4 linked regions of the Saccharomyces cerevisiae S288C genome follow. Changing the gene in region 4 together with the main gene of any one other region gives a genetic interaction. Each region holds a gene or a part of one and is shown on either strand. Other genes may lie near its edges. The genes, in order: RAD17, RMI1, MEC3 and CSM3.

Evidence for each region.
Region 1: mutations in CSM3 (region 4) and RAD17 together harm fitness more than expected from each alone (negative genetic interaction), as found in Saccharomyces cerevisiae (6 studies listed by BioGRID, with this or other methods).
Region 2: mutations in CSM3 (region 4) and RMI1 together harm fitness more than expected from each alone (negative genetic interaction), as found in Saccharomyces cerevisiae (5 studies listed by BioGRID, with this or other methods).
Region 3: mutations in CSM3 (region 4) and MEC3 together harm fitness more than expected from each alone (negative genetic interaction), as found in Saccharomyces cerevisiae (7 studies listed by BioGRID, with this or other methods).

What each region holds. Positions count from the first base shown.
Region 1 is NC_001147.6:1,021,653-1,029,898, reverse strand, and holds RAD17 (Rad17p), read right to left. Parts: upstream 3,057-8,246; coding exon 1,851-3,056; downstream 1-1,850. Other genes in the region: GTPase-activating protein MRS6, read left to right, coding at 1-716; 40S ribosomal protein eS12 RPS12, read left to right, coding at 1,274-1,705; SCP1 (Scp1p), read right to left, coding at 3,290-3,892; YOR365C (putative flavin adenine dinucleotide transporter), read left to right, coding at 4,327-6,438; oleate-activated transcription factor PIP2, read left to right, coding at 6,687-8,246. UniProt on the Saccharomyces cerevisiae protein: Component of the checkpoint clamp complex involved in the surveillance mechanism that allows the DNA repair pathways to act to restore the integrity of the DNA prior to DNA synthesis or separation of the replicated chromosomes.
Region 2 is NC_001148.4:499,160-506,632, forward strand, and holds RMI1 (Rmi1p), read left to right. Parts: upstream 1-4,357; coding exon 4,358-5,083; downstream 5,084-7,473. Other genes in the region: ERG10 (acetyl-CoA C-acetyltransferase), read left to right, coding at 1-133; SMA1 (Sma1p), read left to right, coding at 506-1,243; putative serine/threonine protein kinase SKS1, read right to left, coding at 1,516-3,024; methylenetetrahydrofolate reductase (NAD(P)H) MET12, read right to left, coding at 5,180-7,153. UniProt on the Saccharomyces cerevisiae protein: Structure-specific DNA-binding protein with a preference for cruciform structures. Also binds single-stranded DNA (ssDNA). Functions together with SGS1 and TOP3 to maintain genome integrity. Essential for proper meiotic cell division.
Region 3 is NC_001144.5:710,952-719,356, forward strand, and holds MEC3 (Mec3p), read right to left. Parts: upstream 3,954-8,405; coding exon 2,529-3,953; downstream 1-2,528. Other genes in the region: YLR287C (uncharacterized protein), read right to left, coding at 40-1,107; 40S ribosomal protein eS30 RPS30A, read right to left, coding at 1,586-1,774, 2,205-2,207; GTPase GUF1, read left to right, coding at 4,138-6,075; ubiquinone biosynthesis protein COQ11, read right to left, coding at 6,194-7,027; GCD7 (translation initiation factor eIF2B subunit beta), read right to left, coding at 7,366-8,405. UniProt on the Saccharomyces cerevisiae protein: Component of the checkpoint clamp complex involved in the surveillance mechanism that allows the DNA repair pathways to act to restore the integrity of the DNA prior to DNA synthesis or separation of the replicated chromosomes.
Region 4 is NC_001145.3:365,160-368,434, reverse strand, and holds CSM3 (Csm3p), read right to left. Parts: upstream 1,455-3,275; coding exon 501-1,454; downstream 1-500. Other genes in the region: ribosome biogenesis protein ERB1, read left to right, coding at 1-341; FG-nucleoporin NUP116, read left to right, coding at 1,730-3,275. UniProt on the Saccharomyces cerevisiae protein: Forms a fork protection complex (FPC) with TOF1 which is required for chromosome segregation during meiosis and DNA damage repair. FPC coordinates leading and lagging strand synthesis and moves with the replication fork.

The sequences.
Region 1 (8,246 bases), on a different chromosome or scaffold from region 4:
AATGGTTCAATGAGGGTGAATCGGCCGCCATGGTAGTCTTCCCTCCTGGCTCTTTGAAATCTGGTAATAAGGAAGTAGTACAAGCCTTTATTCTCGGTGCTGGCAGCGAAATTTGTCCAGAAGGAACTATTGTATGGTATTTATCGACCACAGAACAAGGCCCACGTGCTGAAATGGACATTGATGCCGCTCTAGAAGCTATGGAAATGGCCCTGCTAAGGGAATCGTCTTCAGGTTTAGAGAACGACGAAGAAATTGTTCAACTAACGGGAAATGGTCATACAATAGTAAATTCAGTTAAGTTAGGCCAATCTTTTAAGGAGTATGTTCCTAGGGAAAGATTACAGTTCTTATTTAAACTTTATTATACCCAATACACATCCACGCCACCCTTTGGTGTAGTTAACTCCTCCTTCTTTGATGTAAATCAAGATTTGGAAAAAAAGTATATTCCCGGTGCGAGTGATAATGGCGTCATATATACAACCATGCCTTCTGCTGAGATATCGTATGATGAAGTAGTCACCGCAGCCAAAGTTTTATACGAAAAGATAGTTGGCAGTGATGATGACTTCTTCGATTTAGATTTTGAAGATGAGGATGAAATACAGGCTAGCGGCGTTGCTAATGCGGAACAATTTGAAAATGCCATAGACGATGACGACGATGTCAATATGGAAGGTTCCGGTGAATTTGTAGGTGAAATGGAGATATGACGAGCAAGACATATTCTATTTAGTATTTTTTTCCCTTCAGGAAACGGTGATTAATGTCTTCTTACAAGTTAATGAATAGTATATATATGTAAAAAAAAATTCTGCTTCATGTATATACGCACCTCGTTATTGAGGTATTGCGAATGTAGCAGTTGAATAAGCAAAGACGAGGTTTGTACATCTTGGCATATTAAATGGTTATTTCGGGGTTTGTTTCGGCTCAACGGTGATATAAAAAGAAATCCAGTACTGTTTACCATTGTGCATCCGTACATTTGATTTGTTTACAACATCTTCACATTTCCATTGTGGAATCATTTTATTTTTTTCAGAATACCTTACCCGCAAGCAAACTTTCAAGCAAACTTACAATTTGCAAAATTTCATCGAATTCTCCGCAGGACATATTATAAAAGTTATGTCATCTCTTATCACAACAGGTCTATAAGTGTTCCTTGTTCAATTGTTTTTCCCAATTCAAAACTCTTCACGGAGCAGTTTAATTATCTTACTGTCGAAGAAGTCAAAAACTAGACTATATATTATTGAGAAGAAAAATGTCTGACGTTGAAGAAGTCGTTGAAGTTCAAGAAGAAACTGTTGTTGAACAAACTGCCGAAGTTACTATCGAAGATGCTTTGAAGGTTGTTTTGAGAACCGCTTTGGTTCACGATGGTCTAGCTAGAGGTTTGAGAGAATCTACCAAGGCTTTAACCAGAGGTGAAGCTTTATTGGTTGTTTTGGTCAGCTCTGTTACTGAAGCTAACATTATCAAGTTGGTTGAAGGTTTGGCTAACGACCCAGAAAACAAGGTTCCATTGATCAAGGTTGCTGATGCTAAGCAATTAGGTGAATGGGCTGGTTTGGGTAAGATCGACCGTGAAGGTAACGCCAGAAAGGTTGTCGGTGCCTCCGTTGTTGTTGTCAAGAACTGGGGTGCTGAAACTGATGAATTGTCCATGATCATGGAACACTTCTCCCAACAATAAACGGTGTGATGTTCATTAGTACTTTTTCTAGAGTTAGATCACATAATAATATATAGTTAAACTTTTATTTAATTGTAAGTTATATGTTATAAAATTACCAAATGCTGAATGAAGTTCTGCGTTTTCTGCGATGCTGGATATTGACTTAAAAAAATATAGGAATATCCTTTGTTGGATACTTGCAGTGATTCTCTTCATCCTCACTTTCCCTGTTTTTATTGTTTTCTTCTTCAGATGGTAGTTTAATTTTTTTCCCATTCAATTGCAGCAAGTTGTCATTTGAAGTTTCATTGCCTTTATCTGTACCATATCTTTTTCTTATAGTTGATTTTTTAAAACTATTACGATTGCCAAGTTCATTAGTCTCCATCAGGAGTTCTATTTCTGTCTGTGCTGCCTCATCTATGGATTCTTTTTCTAGCATGCAAACCTCAATTACTATACCGGGATAATCCTTGGGTAGCTGCAGTTGGCGAATACTACCTGGTCGATTATTTGAAGGTCTTGTAGTATCAGTGATAATGACATCGTCTGTTTGACTTAGAATATTTACACTCAATACGCCATGAACATCCATCCTGAAAAGGACTTTGCTTGCAATTTTAGTACTCTTTCTGATTTTATCAAACGAGGTGAAATCGAAGAACCCAATTACAGCAAAACCATCTATTACTGTTGTGGAATCTCCGTCAAATACTTGTAACTTCTCTAGTATGGATCTGTTACTGGGTAATTTTATTTTAGAAAATCCTAGCTGAGATTTAGATATCAGGGCAAATACATTCTCATCATTCGCCTCGGTCTTTGCATATACATAGCACTCTTTGCATCCGATTTCTTTTAGATCCTTTAAGGCTGAATGAAGGGCTTCGCCCTTAATAATTGCCTCAAAGCTTATCCTTTCTCTATCGAGTTCTAGTCCATTAGTATCAAAATCCTTAATTAAGTAGGTAGAGTACTCCACTCTCTCAGAAATGAACGAGTCTTCAAATATTAGTACAAATGGTGATCCATGTCCATCATAAGATAAAGTACACTCAACAATGTCATCCGAATTCCTGTTCATCACGCTAACGCTATCTAAGATATGATTTATTTTTACACAAAGTTTCATGTGATCCTCAGTTTCATTTCTATACGAATAAGACATAAATAGCTCCCGAGATAACAGTAGTTGGATTTTTATCACATGATTATTCTCCCTGACAAATGACAGCCCATCAGCATCAATGAATATAAGCACATCGTCTTTAGAACCAAAAGGTGTTAAACAACTTAAAGCAGTTGTGATATGTTCTAAGTGCACCGTTGAGGCAGAAAACTTGTTCGCTAGCTCACTGTTGATTCGCATAGTTGAAATCCTTCAACTACTTTGTTTCCACACCGTTCTGTGAGATTGATTTGTATAATCACATTTTTACCGGTAACGTTAACTTTTGTTACGCGTCTCTAGCCACCTTAGTGTTTATGTAGGAAAACTTTGATGGAAAACTAAAATATATCAAAGGAACTTTGGTTGCGTATATAGGGTTCTTAAATGTTTATTTATCAATTTCTGCCAGAGAAAGTGTTAATAATAATTCTCTAAACTATATCTCTCCGTTGTCCTAACACCACTCCTTCAGTAGCCTGAGATGCACCTTTCATATAACCGTATTCAAAAGTGCTCCATCCAGTACCATCTTGTAGATGTTTTGGTTTAGACTTAACCGGGGGTCTTGGCTTCTTTGTTGACAGTTGTGGTCCTAGAACTGGAAATCTATCTGTATGTTTTTTGTTGGCGTAACGAGATAGTGACTTCAACGTTTGGAAAACAATGGCAGGATCCTTTTTCTCAAAAAGATCAATTGTCTGAAACAGTTCATCTTCAGGCACACCATATTTTCTCGAAAATGATAAAAATTGGGAAATTTGATCCATTTGAACAAATGGCATTTTAGAGCTCTTCCAACTAATATGGTTAGCTTCTCCTGTGTCTGCTTCATATAAAATATTTGCCAGCTTACATAGGACTGTTCCATCTTTCAAGCATTCCAATAAGTCTCCAGGAGGAGCTATCTCTTTTAGGACAGATTTATATACCCATATTTTGATATTTTGAATTGCTTCCGGTGAAAATTTGCTTTCTCTTAGTTGTCTCAAATCTTCATCTAAGGATGTGACATCTGCCTTCTTATCGTAACTCATCGGTAAACTTTAGCTGTACGCTTACAAAGAAGTCATTTACTTAGACACTACTTATATCTTAGCTTTACTATTTGCGTTTATACTCCTTTTGGAACTCCACGGATGTCCAATTACACGTGATGAATGGGTGTTCAGCATATGTTACAACTATAATGCATGACATGATGAATATGTAGTGGTAATCCATGCTGTATTTTGTTATTACTGTAGCATGGTATTGATGCATTTTTAATTTTTATAATGCTGCTATGGAGCGATCCATATCGACGACAGCTTTAGTTCATGGCGGTCCATTTATATTTTTGTGCCCGAATTACTGACACATTTAAAAAATGATGCAGTGTCAATATTTTGGAAGGATGATGAAGCAAAGTCGTAATGCTATTTTAAATAATATTTAACCTCTCTGATTTATAGATGTAAAGAGAATAAGTATGCTTCCCATTAAAGTCTTCTCTTTATCTCGGATTTTTGTTTTGCTAGCAATCTTCCGACAAATACACGCTATTTCCATTAACAGCTCTACTTTCCAGGTTTCTAACTCTTTTACACTACTGAACAACGCATCGACTCTATTCCCAGTACCATTTGATGCATATACTAAAGAATATCTAAGGACTTCGGCTCTGTTGACTTGTGCTAAAGACTCACAGTTTTCTGCATCGTATTTCGAAGCTGCTTTTTTCCCGAGAAATAATACTCTATTCTTTAATGTTGAAGCACAAACAATTATGAGCGAAAACATAACCATCAAGGCAGAATTGATTGCATATGGTCTCAATGTTTATACCAAAGTTTTTGATCTATGTGGAATCCAAGATAATTTATTATGTCCGTTGAAGCCGGGAAATATAGAACTCATGGGAAGTTATTATGTTGAGGCCGCGGTAGCTAGCCAAATACCAAGCATAACATATAATATACCTGACTTAGACGCATATATTGTGGTGACAGCATACTCCACTATTGATAAAGAATTTACCAAACCTCTAGCATGTGTACAAGTGATGTTATCAAATGGTAGAACAGTCCAAACAGAGTATTTATCGTGGAATCTAGTGATATTGACAATTTCCGGAATTATGTTTTCAGTGGTTTATTCTTTGCAAGGTTATACGGTTACTTCAACAAGACTGGCGTCTTATTCAATATCGCTACTTTTATATTTCCAAAATTTGGCTATTTTAGCTATGATTAGTGTATCATTTTTACCGCCTATTGTCGCCGCTTGGACTCAAAATTTCCAATGGTCAATGGGAATAATAAGGATAAATTTTATGCAGCGGTTATTTGACTGGTATGTTGTCGCAACATCTGGGTCCCCCACCGTTGTATACCGCAATAAAGAAGTTTTATCGATCAGTGTTCAAAAAAGATCCTTGAACAGTAAAATCATATCAGCGTCAAGTAATTTAAATGGTATTGAAAGTTCCCAAAAAAATGATTTATTATACACTTCAAATTTGAGAAATTCAAATGACTATCTGTCAAAAATTTTAGTATTAAGAGGTATTAAAAGGGTGTCTTACAAAGCTGGAATTGAGATATCAAATTTCTTTTTAACGGGATTTTCCTTCTTTATCATATTCATTTGTATGATAATATTGGCGTTTATTATCTTCAAAACATTTTTGAAAGTACTTCAGAAGTTTAAAGTTAAGACAATTAGATATTTACACTTCCACACACATTGGAGTGCACTTTTACAGGGGACACTATATCGAGCGGTGTTCATAATTTATTCTGAGATATCTCTTTTAGCACTTTGGGAGTTCACTCAAACAGACTCAGCAGCTACCTTAGTGGAGGCAATCGTTGTTTTCATTTTGATTACAGTCTTGTTATCATCCGCAAGCGTAAGAATATGGAGGAAGATGATCAAGTCTAAGAAAATATTTGGCCAGCCAAGCTATTTACTCTTCAGTAGCTCGAAATTCTTAAACAAGTTCGGCTTTCTTTCCTCTCAATTTAAGTCTACAAAAGTCTGGTGGTTAATGGCGACCTCTGCACACATGCTTATTAGGTCTATACTAGTGGGTTCTCTACAAGCGCACGGAAAATCTCAATCTATTGGTATCTTTTTGAATGAAGCTATCTATCTCATCCTTTTGTGCTGGATGCAACCTTACATGGATAAAACAACCAACTTCTTCAATATTAGTATCCATTCACTGAATTTAGTGAACGCATTTTTTTTCTTATTTTTCAGTAACTTATTTCAGCAGCCCATAGCTGTGTCTTCTTTTATGGGACTAATTTTCTTTTTTCTAAATGCAGCGTTTTCTTTGTATCTCTTCATTTTCATATTGATATGCTTTACGATGGCAATATACTACAAACACCCTGATACAAGATACAAACCTATTGATGATCAAAGACGATCCTTTTTGAAGGGTGAAATGGATGATGATGCGGTTTACGAATCGGTCCCGGAACTGCACGAAATGAAGAAAGCCGTTCTTGAATGCAACGGTATTCAAAAGCCGCAGATCAATAAGATTGACCTTTGTAAACAAAATTCGAACTGTGAATATCTGTATATGTGAATAAATAAAATCGTGACTAATACGTCCGGTAGGATTTGCCTTCCTGCAAAATTTCTTCTGATTTTGGAATTTGAAAGGTTGTAAGACCATCTCGGAACTAAATATAATCTCCGGAGTATCTCCAACGAAGAAAACATAAAGCGTTGTTAGGACTTAATAGAGGTCAGATAAAGAAAATCTACTGAAACGTATAGAGCGGATGAAATATCACTTTCTGATCTTGCTGAACAAAATTTCTTCGATAAAAGATGTACTTTACAGACGAATCATCACCGGCAATGAATAGAGTAGGTAAAAAAAGGAATAGACTTTCTTTTGTTTGCCAAGCTTGTAGAAAAGCAAAGACGAAGTGTGACCAGGAAAAACCTAGATGTGGCAGATGTACTAAACAAAACCTCTTTTGTATATATGATGTCGCCAGACAGGCGGCCCCTAGGAATCCGAATAAGGATGCCACCATAGCGAGACTGAAAAAGGAGATTCGTTACTGGAGAAATAAAACCGTGGATTTGACTCAAGAAAAGAAAGACTTCTACACTGCATTGAAAAGGCCGACTGAAGAATTAGCTGCTAGAAGGACATGTAAAAGCTTGCAGGAAAATAGCTTTCCAATAAGTCTTTATAAGACTCATCCCAGATTGATTATGACCAAAGTGATGAAAAGAGAAATCAACCCTTTATCTGAGAAGTACTTAATATTTCAAGATACCTTTCTGAAGACATTAATTGCCTCCGTGCTTCTAAGTTGTTCCAGAAACTCCATGATTCCTGCTTTAAATGCAGATATTAGTAGGTCGAGGACACAGCCATGCGTAAAGAATAACGTTGTAAAAATGAGAGAGGTTCTATTGAAAAACTCAAAATACGAATCACAAAGAAAATCCATTAACGAGTTTACGGACAGGCTACTACAGAGAAAGAACCCTGAAGAACAGATTGCGGTAAATAAAGTAATTTCTTTATTATACAGTAACAGGGAATCGTCATATTTAGAGGATACATGCCCCACCGAAAACGACTATTCTGATTTGTTGAAAGGCTACATCAATGAAATCGAGAAAACGCTCCCTCCCAAGGCAATCATTGAACAGTACCTCTCTCATTTCTTTGAGCATATTTTCCACCTAATCCCTTTCGCCAGCAAGGAAATGTTGGAGGAATCAATTCACACAACAGTACAGTATAATGAATTAGGAGAGGTACGACTATCGATGGGCACAACCCTTATACGAAATAAAATGGAGAATCTGTGTATCTTACTGTTAATTTTGAGGATCGCGTATATCTCTTTGACATTTATAGAAGATAAGATTGAAGATTACAGTCCGTATATTACCAAAGAGATGCTAGAGCAATATCCGATTCAAAGCGAAGTAATTTTCCTAGCGCAGCAGATACTTGCATCGGAAAATTGGTGTGCTTGTGCAAATGAAAATACCATTTCATGCTTACTCTATATCTGGTGTGCATTTGTTTTTTCCCCAACTGAGGGTGATTTTCTGTTAGAACAACCGTCGGATGTTATAATTAACCTTGTCATACTAATAGGGACGTCTATCGGATTACATCGTGACCCATCTGACTTTCCAGCCTTGAACCACCCCGAAGCTTCAGACAAAAGGCTGCTAAATTTACGAAGGATACAGTGGCTATCAATTATCTCTATGGCAACTCTGGAGTCAAGCCTGAAGGGTAGACTATTGGTCTCACCCCTTTCAATGATTGATCTTTTCATTGACGTTCGGGATCCCAATTGTGTAGAAATCTATAAAAAAAGGGTTAAGAAGGATCTAACAGGTTCCGAATCG
Region 2 (7,473 bases), on a different chromosome or scaffold from region 4:
ATTGGGTTGTTCTGGTGCTAGAGTGGTTGTTACACTGCTATCCATCTTACAGCAAGAAGGAGGTAAGATCGGTGTTGCCGCCATTTGTAATGGTGGTGGTGGTGCTTCCTCTATTGTCATTGAAAAGATATGATTACGTTCTGCGATTTTCTCATGATCTTTTTCATAAAATACATAAATATATAAATGGCTTTATGTATAACAGGCATAATTTAAAGTTTTATTTGCGATTCATCGTTTTTCAGGTACTCAAACGCTGAGGTGTGCCTTTTGACTTACTTTTCCGCCTTGGCAAGCTGGCCGGGTGATACTTGCACAAGTTCCACTAATTACTGACATTTGTGGTATTAACTCGTTTGACTGCTCTACAATTGTAGGATGTTAATCAATGTCTTGGCTGCCTTCATTCTCTTCAGGCTCTATTAATTTTAACCGTTATAAGTTCCTTTTCTCCCTTGGAAGCAAACATCAACTGCCTTAAAATCTGGTGGCGAGGAAAGAGGAAATGGCATGTACTAATGATGGTCCTAATAAATATCCCGAAATTGTGAGTGTTAAGCACCTGTTCCAACATTCGGGATCCAAGCATGAATTTAGTGCTGGTAAACGATTTTCAAAATCCATTGGTAAAATATTCAAACGAAACTCTGCTTTGAAAACTTCTAGAACTGAAACGGCAAATCATAAAATGGAATTGAAAAAAAGAGAGGGTGTTACCTTATTGCCACCTGTCCCAGAATCATTATTACATAAACTCAATTCTTGGTTGGAAACTTTTTCTTCCACCAAGAACATGAAAATCGAAGAAAACAAAATTGTTATTAATGAAAAAGAGATTCGGGATTCAGTCTCTTACTACCCTGATAAGAATGGAGGAAGTGCTGTATTTTGTTACTTGCCCGACCTTGTGCTATATTATAAGCCGCCTATAAAAGTCACAGGCAAGCAATGTCCAATAAAGAGAAGTCCTTGGGAATCGATGGAAATCCAATATCAAAAGTTTATGTACCCCTTAGAAAGGTTGGAAAGACAGTTTGAGGAAGTTCCATTTAGGCCCTGGTATTTTGCAATGCGATTAAAGGAACTTTACAGATGCTGTGAAAGGTCTTTTACTAACGCGGCAAATAGAGGAAAGGCAAGGTTATTGCGGGGGAAGCAAAGGACGAAAAAATCGTATCATAAGACTGTCAACCTGGTATCAGCGAAGATTTCCACCCATTCAAATGCGCCGTCGCCGGGCTGAGAAACAAAAAAAGTGACTAAGTTCTGTCATTCTATCATTATTGTAATTAGTTATGTAGGACATATATATCCATAGTGATCTCCTTTTGATCAAAGAAGACACTGAAAAGTCGTAAGTTCGTAAAAAAAGTATGAAAATCGTTCCAGCCATTGCTTATAGCCATCCTAGTAGGATACTAGAAAAAAAACAAACCTCAAAGATAAAAAGAAAAGGTGAAGCTATTACCGAATTAGAACATAAGATAATACAGTGAGTATAAAGGTGAGACCTGCTCAATAATCTGGTAACCATTTCTCGTTTGGACCGTCTGTTAAAGTAGAAAAATTCATTTGTAAGCATAATAGCCTATTTCTTAATGTATCTTGTTGGAATTTGCAATCTTTGGAAGCACTAACGTCATCGATATCAGATTGGTAAGGTGTACTGTCCATTGAGGAAGTTAAAAAGGTACTATTATTGTGGTTGTTAGTGTATTCATACTTTTCCATACTTCCGTCACTATTATACGTTGATGGAATATCACTCTCCGGTTCAGCATCTTCCTCTTCTTGCTGCTGTTGTGCTTGTTCCTGGTTTTGTATTTGTTCTTGTTTTTGTTCCTGTTCTTGTTCTTGGACTTGCTGTTGTTGTTGTTGCTGTTGTTGTTGTTGTTCTTGGTCTGCAGAAAAATGTGATAAATCGCTCAAAAATAGGTTTTCATTCCTTATAATATGCGTCATGTAAACTTCGCTCGATAGGATTGGAACTTGAGACAAGGGCCCTTCCCTGGTGAAAGAAGTAAGAGAGGAAACTTCGGACATCAAAGTTTTCATGTCTATTCTTGTGTATGGATTTAGTTGTAGAATTTTCGTCAACACTGTGAACAGCTCATCTGATATAGGAAGGATTTTCTTCAGGACATTATTATCGTTAGCAAAATGTTGAAATGTGTTATCCTCCTTCTGGTGAGCTTTTAACCATGGGTTTCTTATGCAAGTTAAATTAATTAGGATGATGCCTAGAGACCATATATCTCCTGTATCCGTAGGGAGGCTCGAACAGCATTCGTCGACGTGTATGCCGTTGGTGGTGGTATTCAAACAATACAATATTCTTTCTGGAGCCATATAATATGAACTGCCAACGCACACATTTGGAGCTAGATATTTAGATTTAGTGGAAAGCCCGAAATCGCAAAGATAAGCGTTGTCATTGCGATCCAGTAGGACATTTTCAGGTTTGATATCACAATGATATATACCGAGACGATGACAGTGATCTAATGCGGAGCAAAGCTGCAGAAAAACTTTCTTAATCAAAATACCATGATTTACAAAATGCTTATCGTCAACTATCGAGGTGAAAAGGTCCCTGTCGTAATAATCCATCACTATAAAAGTGGCAATAGAAGATTCTAAAACTTGGTGAATCTTCACGATATTGCCGTGAGACTGCACTCTTAGTTGGAAGGCAATCTCCCTGTAGTGTGGTAGCCTATTTAGTTCATTCTCAGTCAACTGTAATATCGAGTCTAGATCAACGGAAGGTAAGAACAATTTTTTTTGGAAACTTTTGAAAAAATGATACAGTTGCGTTTGCAGAAGAGTGGTTCGCGCCACTTGAGAGTTGTTGTTCAAACCGTTCTTATTATAAAACTCATCCATCGAGGAGGATTTGAAGACCGTTTTCACTGCATATTCACGGCTCGTCAGTATATCCACCACATGGAACACTAGTCCATACGCACCCGACCCTATTTGAGCCGTTATTCTGAAATTGTTCAGCAAGCAGTCTGACAGCATTTGTACACAAAATTTCTTGTCTGTGTTCTTATTTGATGTTTTCTTTTAAAGAGTTTTGTTTCCGCTAGGGCGATTTAAGTCAATAAGTAAATTTAACAATTTACTAAATATATTTTGTATAATATATAAGAATATACGCCTTAAGAATGTCCTCTCATGCGAAAAAGGTAGCAAGAGCATAAAAAGGAAAAAGAAAACGCTATAGTCATTTGTAGGCTCTTGTCTTTCTTCGTCTTCGTCCCGTGAGTGCGGACTCAGAAAACACCGCAATGATGTGGGTCCGGAATATCTATTGCACAGTTTTAGTAGGGTCACCGATATCGTTAAGGTTTGTGGTAGGAACAGAAGGTACTGCCGGCCCTGTATACTGCCCTTTTGTTCCGACCATTTCTTTTTTGCATTTGTCCCAAGATTCTCTCTCCCCACAAAATCTGCTCAAGTATCTGTCCAACGCGCTTTCTTCGGCTGATAGATAAGTTCCGATTTCGTGGGAAGCAAAAAAAAAAAAAAAAAGAAAAAAAGAGTCTGTCCGAGAAATGTCCCGGAAAACGTGGGTGTGCGGTGAGGAGATTGTACTTCCATCCCACATTCCTCGTGTTTGATTGGCTGCAAGCCACTTGATGCCTAGAAAAGAAACACCGCGTGGTGCATCTATGTCCATATCACGCGCGCTAAAACAGCATGTAGAGAGCGCGAGGGCGGCGTACTGCACCATTCTAATAGGAAATCCGGGATGAATGCCCTCTCCGGAAATACCTCCACTAAGCCTCAATGGAAAGTTGTTCCGCTCACGCGAACAGGTTTTTCCGGGGAGTCGAGAACTACAGTGACGTAAATACGACGACATCGCTAGAGCCAGCAGAAGCCTCCATACATTCAGACTAATTAGTTGACGGGCTTGAGCCAACTAGACATATTATGTAGGCACATATGCTCCAACCAATACATATGTGTACATAGAGTACAGCTCTTCCCAGCGCATCCGCTATCGTCCTCTTGACAGGTCCGGCTATTTATTATCCGCGGCATCCGCGGCCCAGCGCACAATAATAGATTACTTTGCAATGCAAGCGGTCTTGGCTGTTTGCTCTGAGGGTCCATCTTCGTTTATTTCTTTATTTACTAAATTAATTATGATACTGCACTCAGGACGGGCCAAGAAAGCATGTAGCGTGAAGAGAAACTAATTATTAAGAAAAAAGAAAAAAAAAAAAAAAAAAAAAAAGAAAAGGAAAAAGGAAAAAGATAAACCAATCATACAATCTTTACAGAAAGGGAGTACTGAGAAGAAGGCCAAAATACTGCAGAGCATACATACTACCGAGTGGATGGAATGTCTTTTTCATCTATCTTATCACAGGATATCACAGATGACATTACACCACCAGCGTATTCCGCCACCTTGGGGTCGAGAGAACAGATTGTTTTCAGAGCTTACCAAAATGAACCTTGGTTGGCTGGTACTGCTTCGAATCTTATCTTAGATAAAAAACTTGTTATTGTAGACAGAGAACTGTTGTTCCAGGTGTTGATGGTAGAGAATATCACCAAATCCAAGCTAACACAGATCGATGATATAAAAACCAAGCTGGATCCGAAAAAACAGAAAGTGGATAGACTACGATCAGGCGCGCAAGGAAATGGCGCTAAGAAGTACGAGGTCATCACTCAAGTGGACATGGAAGATGACGGGAATGTGGCGGATAACAACTGCGCCAAGGAAAATAATAGCAACAATAATAGCAGTGCCGCCAAGAATAAAGCAGTGTTTAAATTGACACTACAAAGTAAGTCGGGCGACGTTTTTTTTGCTATCAACTCGACTCCAATATCTTGGAGCTCTTGCATGCTGGGTTCTAAAATTGTGATACTGCCGGGAACTGTGTTCAATAGGGGCGTTTTCATATTGAAGGACTCACAAGTCATTTTTCTCGGCGGCATTAATAGAGTTTGGAATGAAAATAGAGATCAGAAATTTTGTGATTATTTGGAATCTAAATTACAACGTGACAAACAACTTGTAAATGGCGGCTCCAAGAAAAGGAAAGCCAATGATTAGCATATGCCTCTTCTTCTTAGAAGGGCGTTCTGCCCGTTATGTATACGTTAAATATTACATTATTTTCGCATTTTTGTATTTATATTCAGTGAAATATTAGGCTTGGTCGAGTAACATTTCCCATAGCTCGTCGGTTTCTTTGAAGTCGTGATGAACAATTGAGACAAGACAGTAGTCTTTATGCACTAGTCTTAGAAGAATATTGGCTGGGGTGTTCCTTGGAAATAACTTGGCCCACTCGGACCAGATACTAAACGCTTCATCTCTCCATGCCTTGAATGACTCTTCTTCAATGATTGTAGTCTGTTTGACCGGACTGTTGGGAAAAACACCCCATGTTACAACGCTAGAGCTGTGCGGGTCTAGGTTCGTTTCAAATGAACCAGATGAATCGCCCGCGTAATAACTGAATTTCCGACGCCCGTAATGGTCTAGCTTGGGTTTCAAAGTTGTTTCCCATTGCTGTCTATGAATAAACATTTCTACGAATGCCTTCTGATACAACCTCCCTTTCGCGGGCCCCCAGCCGAATATTTTATCACTACTCAATGTAGCATTTGTGGCAGGTTGCGATGCCAAAGTCAAATATCCGCGATAGTTTAGTTGGATTAGTTCTTCTTGTATTAACGCCGTTTCAGCTGATAAACCCAGGTCAGACCAGGGAATCGCATCCGTTGAACCTTCCAAATATTTTATAAAAATATCTTTTAAATCGCCAATTGTCTTTGGTATACCCCATAGTTCAAGCGCTTTGCTTTTGCTTACCTTGATGGATGGCCCATAACCGTCTATTTCACCATATGCGGGAGACCTGGAGTCACCAAATCTACCATTGGGGAACTCATCCCAAGTGGCATCACGACCCAAAGTTCCGTGACCTTTAGAAATAGATATTAAAGCCTTTTTAGATGGCATGGAACCATTCTCATTATTATAGCGTAAGCCTTTTTCAGTGACGATAGCCCTATTGAAAATCAACTTGGCCGAATCAAGACTTGAATGCCTTCTCCTTTTCCGGTTTGCTACAGTTTCTTCATTCGAATCATCCAACACAATATCCCCGTCAGCATCTTCTATTGGCACATTTTCTATGCTTCCTATTTCGCCACTGGTTTCATCTTCTCCCTCTTCTTCGCTAGATTCATTTACGATATGGGATAAGACGGGAGATTGCGAGACAATTTGAGCAATAGCCTTTTCCAAATTTAATGTATAGAAATGAAACCCTTTAATTCTACCAGATGTTCTTTGATATATTTCCTGAATCAATTCGATAAGAATGTCCACACCAATGGACTTCACGGCATTATCATCCGATTGGATTTCTGGGGGGAACCTACTCAGTATTGCAGGTGGAATAGATGCATGTGATAACTTTGCTGCTCTGTGGAAAAGCAGATAGGAGTTAATAGGCATCAACCCAGGGAAAAGGGGCAAATCTTGCGAAATCCGTTCCCGAAATAGCATTTCAAAAGTTAAGAATTTTTCAACGTCGTAAAACAGTTGTGTTATCACAAAATCGGCCCCAGCTTCAACTTTTTCTTTTAAATATACCAAATCCTTCAATGGGTCTTGCTCGTGACCTTCTGCTTCACCTTCACAATGACCTTCTGGATATGCTGCAACACCGACGCAGAACTTGTCTCCGTAGCTTTGCTTGATATAACGAACTAAATCAACCGCATATTTAAAAGGTGATTCGTTCGATTGAGAATCTAGCCAATCTTCCCCAATAGGTGGGTCACCTCGAAGAGCCAAAATATTCCTGATTCCTGCATTATAACATCTATCCAGCGCATCATCAATGATGGCTTTTTCTGTGTTTGTACAGGTCAAATGCATACAAACTGGTATATTTAGTGTCTGCTGTGCCAAGGAAGCTAATGTCAGAGTCTTTTCCGCAGTAGTACCACCTGCTCCCCAAGTAACCGTGATAAACAGTGGATCTAAAGCAGTCATACGATGCATACGTTCCATCAAATTTCTCGTCCCTAATTCAGTCTTTGGAGGGAAGAATTCTAACGATATAAAAGGGGAAGCCCTCGCATGATATAAATCTCTGATGGACATGTTTAAAAAATGTAATCAACCTGTCCCGTCCAACACGCTTCAAAAAATGTACGAACTTGAAACAAAATAGATGATGTGAGAGCTTAAGTCCCTCTTCCAATGTAACCAACAACCTGAAGTGTTCTCTGTTTGCCTTTATTTTGCGACTTTTCTTCATCATTGAAGTTAGAAAAAGCTTTACTCGCTTATCTCCTGGAGTAAGCTATAGCCACAGTCAATATCGCGTCTAATGAAAAAAAAAAGTCGGGACGAGTAAACTTTTGTCTGCGTGGCGCATAGGAGAGGAGAGAGCACAGGTGTACTGGAGGGTTCAGGACGTT
Region 3 (8,405 bases), on a different chromosome or scaffold from region 4:
GATTATATACCATGCACTGTAACATTCAGAGAAAATATACTAAAACAATTCATTGAATTTTATCTCCCATGTGTCAATCCATTTCTTTCTTTTTGGATCACCTTCATATAGTTTACTCATTTGGATAAGAACTTTTTTAGTTACTGCAACTAATGCAGCCTGTTCTTCTTTTACCTCCTCATTGGTAAAGTTCTTCGGCTCAAATTGTACAGTGGATACCACTTCATCCAAAAGTAACTGTATTTCCTTCAGATATGTATGTATACTGTCTAAAGTTTCTGCTTGATTCCTCTTAGGAGTAAAATCTTTTGACACCAGAGTTTTCCTGAAAGTTGATACAAGTAATTTGATTAGCTTTATCTTCCTCGTAAACCCATCGAAAAACAACTTTATATTTTCATAGACCTTTTCCTGGTCAAATTCCTCTTTCTGTGAATCAGATTCGGATTCTGAATCCTCAAAATCCAAAAATATATCGTCCGAGTTTGCTGAAAAATCGGGTTCCTCAAGCCACTCTTTTATTTCATTCATTGTATCGTCCATTATGGCCACATTATCTTTTAAGATGTTTGCTAGGATCCCATAAGGTCCAGCCTTGGAACAATTAGAGAGAGAATCGCACGCATTGAATATTTTACCAACTGAGGTTAACCTTTCTTTGTCTAGAGATGCATTTTCGTCATTTTTCAATCTTTCTTGTAATTCGGCAATGAAATCTCTCAAGCCATCGAGCAATTGTAGCGTACTTTCATCCAGTTGGTCTGTAAAGTATTTGGGGCAATCCTTGTTATTGTAAAACAAAGGGAATAAACTTAGTAAGTAGAATAATGGCCTACTAAAATTTTGGATTTCGGTAATCACAACTTTATGATTGTTATCAAAAGTTCCTGGCTTGCAAACAATACCTATTTTTGTGCAATGTGCCTTCAATACAGAGGCTAATTTGTCTAGTTCCTTAGTTGGGGTGGAACCTTGTAGTTTGGTAGTAGAGGAGATTTTACGCAAGTCTTCCGGCTTTTTGTATGGCACTAAAAACTGTTCATCTATAGAATTCAGCAGTTCCAATAATTTGACGTCATCCTTTCTATCACTGCTTCCAGTAGACATTATTGTATAACTGGTATTTCTCTTATAAAGTTTATAATAGGCGTCTCTGGTGATGCTTGTTGACCTCAATGGATTTTGTTAAAAGGAGGCTTCATGTCATCGTCAAGATCATTGCAGTTTTTTTCTAGTTTTTTTTTTTTCATTGCCACATTATGAAGCGCCCATTCAAAAACAACTAGAAAAACGTTTGCCAACCCTAGGTACGGCAAGATCCTCCTTATTAATAAAAGCATCACACCAAGACAGCAAAGAAGTAAATCGATAATATGAATAGCATAATTTTGCGAAGTTAAAGTCCTAAAGAAATAATTTATAGTTAACACTACTTACATAATTTCAATACTGCTTTATATTTAAAGTAAAAAACGCATAACGGAAATACAAATACAAGTCAAAAACTATCTTGAAGTAAAGATGGCATGACTGCTATTTTGTTTCTTGTTACTTTTAAGCTCCTTTTCCACAACTGTTAATTTTCTTATTGGACGGATGGACCTGGGTTCATTCTTCTCTTACCGTTAACCAAGGTAACGTTAACGAATCTTCTGGTGTACAATAATCTTTTGTAAGCACGACCCTTAGGCTTCTTTGGCTTTTCGGTTTTTTCAACCTTTGGTGTTTGAGACTTGACTTTACCAGCACGAGCTAGAGAACCATGAACTTTAGCCTAAATAAATAATATTAATATTAAAAATTAATGACCATGTTAGTATAGTGAATTTTTGAATTATTTGGCGTATCAGCAAGGATGCTAAAAATAAACTTCACTCTGCTATTTTCTCAAAGCCTTTTTAACTCTCCGTCAAAAAATGTTGTTATTAAACTCGACATTATGTTAAGTCCACGCTGTTGCCCTCGAAAAATCTGTGTCAAGCAATTACGTTTTTGATGTAACAGAACTCAAATTTAAAAAGTTTCCTATCATATTCTCAGGGTGGAGCCAGTTTAAAGATATATTGCGTTTTATTTCTTTTTCTGCGGTATATATAGATATGAAACACCAGTAATATATTCAAATTAGCTATTTCTTGTTATTCATTCCTCGCTGAAACGTCCATTTTTTTCATATTTTAAAATCCTAATGAGGCATTACGTACCATATTTGCGTAGTTTTTGTATGGGGATATGGAAGATTATTACAGTGGCAAATTTAATGTGCAGTTCATGTAGCCTTTAAAATGCAACATACCGTTCGTAAGGCTGTTTTGTTCTATCTATTTTTTCTGAGGTTTCCGACAACCTCACGACATTTTTTTTTTTCGAACGGAAAAAAGAAAAGCAGTTAGTATGTAAAGCACGGATTTTTTTATACATATGTACGGATGTGATAGTCTGCAACTCTGCAACTCTGCAGTTCTCAGCCATGTCAGATTTAAAGAGTTTCCTTAGCAACGTAGCAAAGAAATGTACCGCTGTAGGGTTTACAAGCCCTTCGATCTTGCTATATAATATATGATTTGTCCTCTTTCCCTTGGTTTTTCCACATCTTCGCTATCTTCCAAGCTACCACGATCCAACGAACAGTGGAATACGCAGGATTCGTCGTGAGAAATCGCCAAAACAACTTCTTCAAATGCAGCGTATAACTTGGAACACACCTTCCAATCTTTGCAACGGATGATTACTTCATGTGTGGACGAACTTTCCTGTTCAGCCTTTTCCACCATAACGGATATGTCATTAAATTCAGTATCACCGCTAGTATCAGCTGTGTAAATGTTTCCCCGCGTATCTGCGATCGAGCTATCCTCAATTCTTAATAAATCTTCATCGTAGCGGATATTTTCTTCCATCTCTCGATCTCTAGTATTGGTATATAGTGAAGACATCGGTTTATCCGCTTCGATAATCGGAAGAGATCCTTCCTCCTGCCGGCCGTCTGTGTCGATGTGCTGGTTTTGGGAAGGATTGTCAGTGAGCCCTTCTTGGCGTTGTATCACAGAGTCTAAGGGTCCATTCCAGCATATTTCCAAATGCCAATCTAATTCATTCACAATTATCTTAAGTTCTACATCATCACCTTCATTTCCATGCTCCTTTTTTTTGACTCCCATTAAATGAATGTGGTTGACATTACTGTACCGTTCAACACGTCTAATAAACCCGTGGAAGGCGGAGCCAAACTCGCCCGATATTGGTGGCAGCTTGTACATCATCAGTTGAATATAGTTAATCATTGGCTCTTGTATTCGCGTATCTTGTGCTCGGAATAATAGTTTGACAGGTACTTTGAACGAATGCATGATAACCTTATTGCTTGCGAGTAGATTTCCTGTGCCTACTGTGGTTGGTAAACCATTGTGCTCATCCACTCCCCCATTCATAACTATAGCGTCATTTGGGCCGCTAGTATGTACAATTTCTTCGAATGTTATACCTAGAGCACAAATGGGGTTCGGTTTTGAGGTTGTATCTACGCCTCCTGCTGTTCCTCCTGAAAGTGTTCCGTTATTTGTATTCCATTCTGGCATTGACTGTAGTTTTATAGTCATATTAGAGGAAGATCCTTGGTTCATTACTCGATCATACCTTTTAAACACACTCAATAAAGAATCACAATTACACTCCATTGTTATTGTATTGAGCTCGCGAGCTGATATAACTGTATATAATCTGAATACATCATGAGGAATGGTACACCAAAGCTGACCAGTATCCCCTCGTAATATTGTACCGTTGTTACTGCTGTTGAGTGATGATTTTGGAGTGGATATTATTGTCAATCTTTCACTATTAAATCTTAAGATAGCCGTCTTTCGTAGCGAAGCAACTGTATTGATAGTAGTTCTTAGCAATTTATAATCATCAGGTGCTTCACAACCATTTACTATCAATTTTAATTTCATTTAACTGAATTAAGACACACCTTTTGTCTTCTTTTTTCTCTCATCATCTCCGTATGTTTATGTTGCTATTTTGATGTAAATAAAAAAGTTGAATAATAGACGAGGGCAAGTATAACTCGCCTATATTTGTAGCCGCAACCATTGAAAAAGAGCCATGAATATGGGAAACTAGTTGCACATAAAAATGCTGAAATTTAGAATTAGGCCAGTGAGACATATACGGTGTTATAAACGACACGCATATTTCTTACGATATAACCATACGACTACCCCTGCACAGAAGTTACAAGCACAGATCGAGCAAATACCTCTCGAAAATTACAGAAATTTCTCTATAGTTGCCCATGTTGACCATGGGAAGTCAACCTTAAGTGACAGACTGCTGGAAATAACGCATGTCATCGATCCCAATGCGAGAAATAAACAAGTTTTGGATAAATTGGAAGTCGAAAGAGAAAGAGGTATTACTATAAAGGCGCAAACATGTTCGATGTTTTATAAAGATAAGAGGACCGGAAAAAACTATCTTTTACATTTAATTGACACGCCAGGACATGTGGACTTCAGAGGTGAAGTTTCACGGTCATATGCGTCTTGTGGGGGAGCAATTCTTTTGGTTGATGCATCACAAGGCATACAAGCACAGACGGTTGCTAATTTTTATTTAGCCTTCAGTTTAGGATTGAAATTAATTCCAGTAATAAACAAAATTGATCTAAATTTTACAGATGTTAAACAGGTAAAGGATCAGATAGTGAATAACTTTGAGCTCCCCGAGGAAGATATAATCGGAGTAAGTGCTAAAACAGGATTAAATGTAGAGGAACTGTTACTACCGGCTATAATTGATCGTATACCACCACCAACGGGGAGGCCTGATAAACCCTTCAGAGCATTATTAGTGGATTCTTGGTACGACGCATACTTAGGAGCGGTTCTTCTAGTGAATATTGTTGATGGTTCTGTACGTAAAAATGACAAGGTTATTTGTGCTCAGACAAAAGAAAAATACGAAGTCAAAGATATTGGAATCATGTATCCTGACAGAACCTCTACAGGTACGCTAAAGACAGGACAGGTTGGCTATCTAGTGCTGGGAATGAAGGATTCTAAAGAAGCAAAAATTGGAGATACTATAATGCATTTAAGTAAAGTAAATGAAACGGAAGTACTTCCCGGATTTGAAGAACAAAAACCCATGGTATTTGTGGGTGCTTTCCCGGCTGATGGGATTGAATTCAAAGCCATGGATGATGATATGAGTAGACTTGTCCTCAACGATAGGTCAGTTACTTTGGAACGTGAGACCTCCAATGCTTTGGGTCAAGGTTGGAGATTGGGCTTTTTAGGATCTTTACATGCATCTGTTTTTCGTGAACGACTAGAAAAAGAGTATGGTTCGAAATTGATCATTACTCAACCCACAGTTCCTTATTTGGTGGAGTTTACCGATGGTAAGAAAAAGCTTATAACAAATCCGGATGAGTTTCCAGACGGAGCAACAAAGAGGGTGAACGTTGCTGCTTTCCATGAACCGTTTATAGAGGCAGTTATGACATTGCCCCAGGAATATTTAGGTAGTGTCATACGCTTATGCGATAGTAATAGAGGAGAACAAATTGATATAACATACCTAAACACCAATGGACAAGTGATGTTAAAATATTACCTTCCGCTATCGCATCTAGTTGATGACTTTTTTGGTAAATTAAAATCGGTGTCCAGAGGATTTGCCTCTTTAGATTATGAGGATGCTGGCTATAGAATTTCTGATGTTGTAAAACTGCAACTCTTGGTTAATGGAAATGCGATTGATGCCTTGTCAAGAGTACTTCATAAATCGGAAGTAGAGAGAGTGGGTAGAGAATGGGTGAAGAAGTTTAAAGAGTATGTTAAATCACAATTATATGAGGTCGTTATACAGGCCCGAGCTAATAACAAGATAATAGCTAGAGAAACAATTAAGGCAAGAAGAAAAGATGTTCTCCAAAAGCTGCATGCTTCTGATGTCTCACGAAGGAAAAAACTTTTGGCGAAACAGAAAGAGGGTAAAAAGCATATGAAAACTGTAGGTAATATTCAAATCAACCAAGAGGCATATCAGGCTTTTTTGCGCCGTTAGCATTGCATATTATTGTTATTACCATTTTAAAATTATACCAAGCTGTATATAGTTAAGTACTTTTCATTTGTAAATAAAAGAGAAAAATAGATTAATAAATATAATAATGGCATAATCATTATGCTTTAAGTATTTCCTCAAGTGTAACTACCCCTTTAAAATCTGGGTTTTCGATATTTTTCAGGACGGATTTGCTTACCTGCTGAGTGGATACTGTTGGCCTAATCAAGTCGTTCAAAAGCTGCAGCTTATTTCTCAATAGAAATTTGTTACCGCAGTAAAGTAGTTCAAGTGCAGTATGAATAAAAGACCGTGGTCCAATTGCATTTCTGTGCTCATCGAACATAAAACCGGGTCTCACAATAATAGGCCTGAAATATCTCTGCATTTTTTCTAGTTCAATCTCCGCCTCTCTTTTCGAATTAATATAGCCACTAGGAATCAATGGGAAACCTTTATCGGCGGAAATATACGTAAAAGATCTTTGATTTGCTTTTTCTTGCTCCTTTTTGCTTTTCTTTAGGATTTTTTGTTTAAATGTATCTGCCAAAATAATAGCACTTTGCTTATTCATCATTTCATAAGTAAAATAAGGACTGCTTTTTTTTAAAGGATTTGGACCTGCACCAAAAGATAGAAGGCGTGATTTTGAATCATATGTAGGGGATTTGGATAGAGTTTGCTTATAATTTTCATTTTCTAGGAGGATTCCCAAAGAATGAACTACGTTAGTAGCATTATTCAATAATTCATGGTAAGAATCAGGCTTAAAAATGTCAGCAGCGGTCCATTGGACCTCCTGCATCCATTGCTTATCATTTAATTCATTGCTATGAGGAGCTTTACCGGACCTTGACACAGAAACGACTTGGTAGCCCGAAGTCACTGCTTCTTGACAAATTCTTTTACCTAAAAATCCATTGCCTCCAAAAACTATAAGCTTTGGTATCATTTTCTACTTCAGTTCAAGCTTTAGCTGTATTTTTGTATACGATACATATTTCCCTTATTTTTTTATTTTTTCAATGTTTTCCTGTTTTTCTATTATGCAAAAGCGACAAGATGGCATTACGAGGAGACACTCAACTAAAAAAAAAAAATGAGTCAAATTGCCAGACTTTGTAGAGAAGTAAAAAGTTAATGCTAAGATGCTCTTTATGTATTAGTCTTTTAACATATTCAAGGATACGTAAATATTCTGATTATATACTAATAATTAATAATAAAAAAATTGTTTTGATCTACAAGATTTTTATTTATTTTCATGAGTAATGTACAAAAGACACATCATCACGCCTTATTTTTATCCAAATGCACATCAATTTGCTTGTAATTATCCCACGCAATACGATATATAAAACTTGGATTGAACCCACCGACGTTTGTAATGTAGATATCAATATTTTCAGGCGGAACATAATCGGTAATTTGATTAACTGTATCTAATCTTTTTCTTGGATCCATTCTAGGTAATATACGTTGGGACCCACCAAATTCGACAAACTTCTCTACGTCGAACGGATATAGAGGAGAAAGCTTATACAAACCTGCAACAGCAAATACAGGGGTTCTAAATTCTCGGGCGCATTCACAAACGGATGATACACCTGAATTTGACGAGATAGTCCCCCCATTGACAAAAACGGCTTTAGTGCCGATAATAACCTTACCCACACGGGACATTAAAGCAAAAACAGCTGAGTCTGGGACTACTAGGGTTTCTATGTTGTGCTGTGCTAATTTTTTGGCAAACTCATGTGCATTCTTGGTGTTATTAGGGAACCCCTCTGTAACTAAAACCGTAAATGTTCTATTACTACGTTCGCGAGCAGTAATCAGAAATTTTAATACGGTTTTTGAATCAGGTGTGGGAGTTAATAAAATCTCATGATCGTGAATCAAATCAATAGCAATTTGCTGAATACCTTCATCAATGTTTTTTATCTCATCTATAAGATCCTTGATACCCTGAATGGCTACTTGACGGTAATCAGTCTTGGTTTTCATACTAGAGCTCCCTGAACTATTTTTTCTATTCTGATGAGGTTGCTCCGGTTTCTGTAATAAATTAAACATAGAGGAAATCAAAGGTTCAGCAACGGATGTGGATGTGACAGTTGTGCTCATAGTGTCTTCTTCTACTTCATCCCTCAAAACAGCCAGTATTCTTCTAATTACGTTACCGCAACTGAAAGCAGTAGGATGAGCTTTTTCTAGACTATTACCTAAATCTCTGATTTGTTCAATAAGGTCATTAACATGGTTCCAACGAGCTGCAGAGATAAATCGCATTAACAGTTGTAAAGTTTCCAAGGCGATGGCGTATGAAC
Region 4 (3,275 bases):
TAATTGCGTCATCGTTTGACAAGAGAGTTTTATGGCACGACCTGGATTTGGCTAGCACACCTTACAAGACACTAAGATATCATGAAAAAGCCGTCAGAAGTGTGAATTTCCACAAAAAGTTACCTCTATTCAGCTCTGCCGCTGATGACGGTACCATACATGTTTTCCATGCCACTGTTTATGATGACATGATGAAAAATCCGATGATTGTGCCACTAAAGAAACTAACCGGTCATAAAGTAATCAATAGTCTGGGTGTTCTTGATGCTATTTGGCATCCGAGGGAAGCTTGGCTGTTTTCTGCCGGTGCTGATAATACGGCTCGCTTATGGACCACCTAGATAAATAATTTGAAGTAGATATTGTATAATAACGCCCAAGAAGAAAAAATCAAACACTCGAACCAGGCTCTTTCTACAAGCTTTATTTACACAATATATATAAACCTATATGTATAGATGCCCACACGCACGTTTGGATTATTACCTTCAATGACATTGCTAAAAGCCCATTTCCTTCATAGCATCCAACTCATCTTGATCTACGCCAAACTCATCTCCCCCTGGCAATAAATCATAATGAGTATGTTGTCCCTCTATATCATTCATTTCCCACTCTTCCAAACTTTGAATCAGTTGAACGTCTTCTTCAGTCATAGAGCCTTTTTCCATTTTTCTATGCGCATCTAGCCATCCTAATAAGAGCTTCTTCTCATTTTCTTCAAGGCCAACGGGCCCTTGTACCCTGAATGTCTTCAATAATGCATCCAAATCTTCCTTAGGCGGCACAACGTTGTTAAGTACCGTTTCATTATTCCCACGTTCGTCCAAAACTCGTCCTCTTCTGTTGCGATAAGAAAGGTGATAGATATCGTCATCTTCGTCATTATCGTAATCGACATTGTTTACATTCCTTTTGTCTTGCGCAAAACTATCTGCGACAATAGGCCTCTCTTCCGCGGAAGTGACATGTTCTTCAACCATAGGTGATTGTCTTTCCAGGTCTTGCCCAGTCTCCCGTGTGCCAACATCGAAACTCATGCCCATCTCGTCCCTAAAAAGGCTGACTCTATATTCTCTAAGAACTGGATCTGTTTTACCTACTGTTTGACAGATCTTCATAAAATCCTTAAATTTTGCCTTGGGAAACAATTCATGTGCCCAAAGCTGGTAAAACTGAATAATATTTGATAAGTTGTCATATGAGTTTTTTTTTGAGGAAATTCGTATCCTTTTATGTGCATTTTTCAAAACATATGGTAAACCTTTATCACTGAGTAGTTTTTCGGCTGTTAATTTTACTTGAGGCCTTCTCTTTCTAGCTGTAATTGCGGTTGGATCCGCAATGGTAGGATCAACTACTGAACCATCCAAGCCATTTGGTACAGTTGGGTCTTTTTGGACACTATCGGAGTCATTGAAACCTAGTAATAAACTGTCAAAATCTTGATCCATGACCTCAATAAAAGTTTCTGTTCACGTTTTCATGGCATTTTAATCCAGTATATCATTGATCTTGTTACGCGTCAGTTTATTATTGTCACTTTTGCAGATTATCATTACCCGGCATTTTTCCTTACCATGCTCATTAGAAAAAGAACAAAACTAAATTATACTTAGAGTTAATAAAGTGTCATAAGGTCGCAAAGGAAACTATCAGCATTGCATAGAGATCCCGGCAACTGAGAGGCACCATTCAGCTTCGAAGATTTCTTTTTTAAAACATTATTATGTTTGGAGTTAGCCGTGGCGCATTCCCCAGCGCAACAACACAGCCATTTGGCTCAACAGGATCAACCTTTGGTGGCCAACAGCAACAACAACAACCAGTAGCAAACACTTCTGCTTTCGGCCTCAGTCAGCAAACAAATACAACACAAGCACCTGCGTTTGGTAACTTTGGTAACCAAACTTCTAATTCTCCCTTCGGAATGTCAGGCTCGACTACAGCAAATGGTACTCCTTTTGGTCAAAGTCAATTGACGAACAACAATGCCTCTGGCTCGATCTTCGGTGGAATGGGTAATAACACAGCACTTTCTGCTGGTTCCGCTTCTGTTGTGCCCAATTCTACTGCAGGTACAAGCATTAAACCTTTTACTACATTCGAAGAGAAGGATCCAACCACAGGTGTCATCAACGTCTTCCAAAGTATCACCTGTATGCCTGAATACAGAAATTTTTCTTTTGAAGAATTGAGATTTCAAGATTACCAAGCTGGTAGAAAATTCGGTACCAGTCAAAATGGCACTGGTACTACTTTTAACAATCCTCAAGGAACTACCAATACTGGATTTGGAATTATGGGTAATAATAACTCCACTACTTCTGCTACAACAGGAGGATTATTTGGTCAAAAGCCAGCAACAGGCATGTTTGGAACCGGAACTGGAAGTGGTGGTGGCTTTGGCTCTGGAGCGACCAACTCTACAGGATTGTTTGGAAGCTCTACTAACCTCTCAGGAAATTCTGCATTTGGAGCAAATAAACCTGCCACTTCCGGGGGATTGTTTGGTAATACAACTAACAACCCAACAAACGGCACTAATAATACAGGCCTTTTCGGCCAGCAGAACTCAAATACAAACGGAGGATTATTTGGTCAACAGCAAAATTCATTTGGGGCGAATAATGTCAGTAACGGGGGAGCCTTTGGTCAGGTGAATCGTGGTGCCTTTCCCCAACAACAAACACAACAAGGTAGTGGTGGTATATTTGGTCAATCAAACGCTAACGCAAATGGTGGCGCTTTCGGCCAACAGCAAGGCACTGGTGCTCTTTTTGGAGCTAAACCTGCTTCTGGTGGACTATTTGGACAATCTGCTGGTTCAAAAGCATTCGGAATGAATACCAACCCCACTGGTACCACTGGTGGCTTATTTGGGCAAACCAATCAGCAGCAAAGTGGAGGAGGGTTATTTGGCCAGCAACAAAATTCCAACGCTGGAGGATTGTTCGGTCAGAATAACCAAAGCCAGAACCAATCCGGATTATTTGGACAACAAAACTCCTCAAACGCATTTGGCCAGCCACAGCAACAAGGCGGATTATTTGGAAGCAAACCTGCAGGAGGACTGTTTGGACAACAGCAGGGAGCATCCACTTTTGCGTCTGGTAATGCCCAAAATAATTCTATATTTGGGCAAAATAACCAACAACAGCAATCAACCGGGGGATTATTCGGACAACAAAACAACCAGTCGCAGTCCCAACCTGGTGGATTGTTTGGCCAGACCAATCAAAATAATAATCAGCCATTTGGCCAAAATGGGTTAC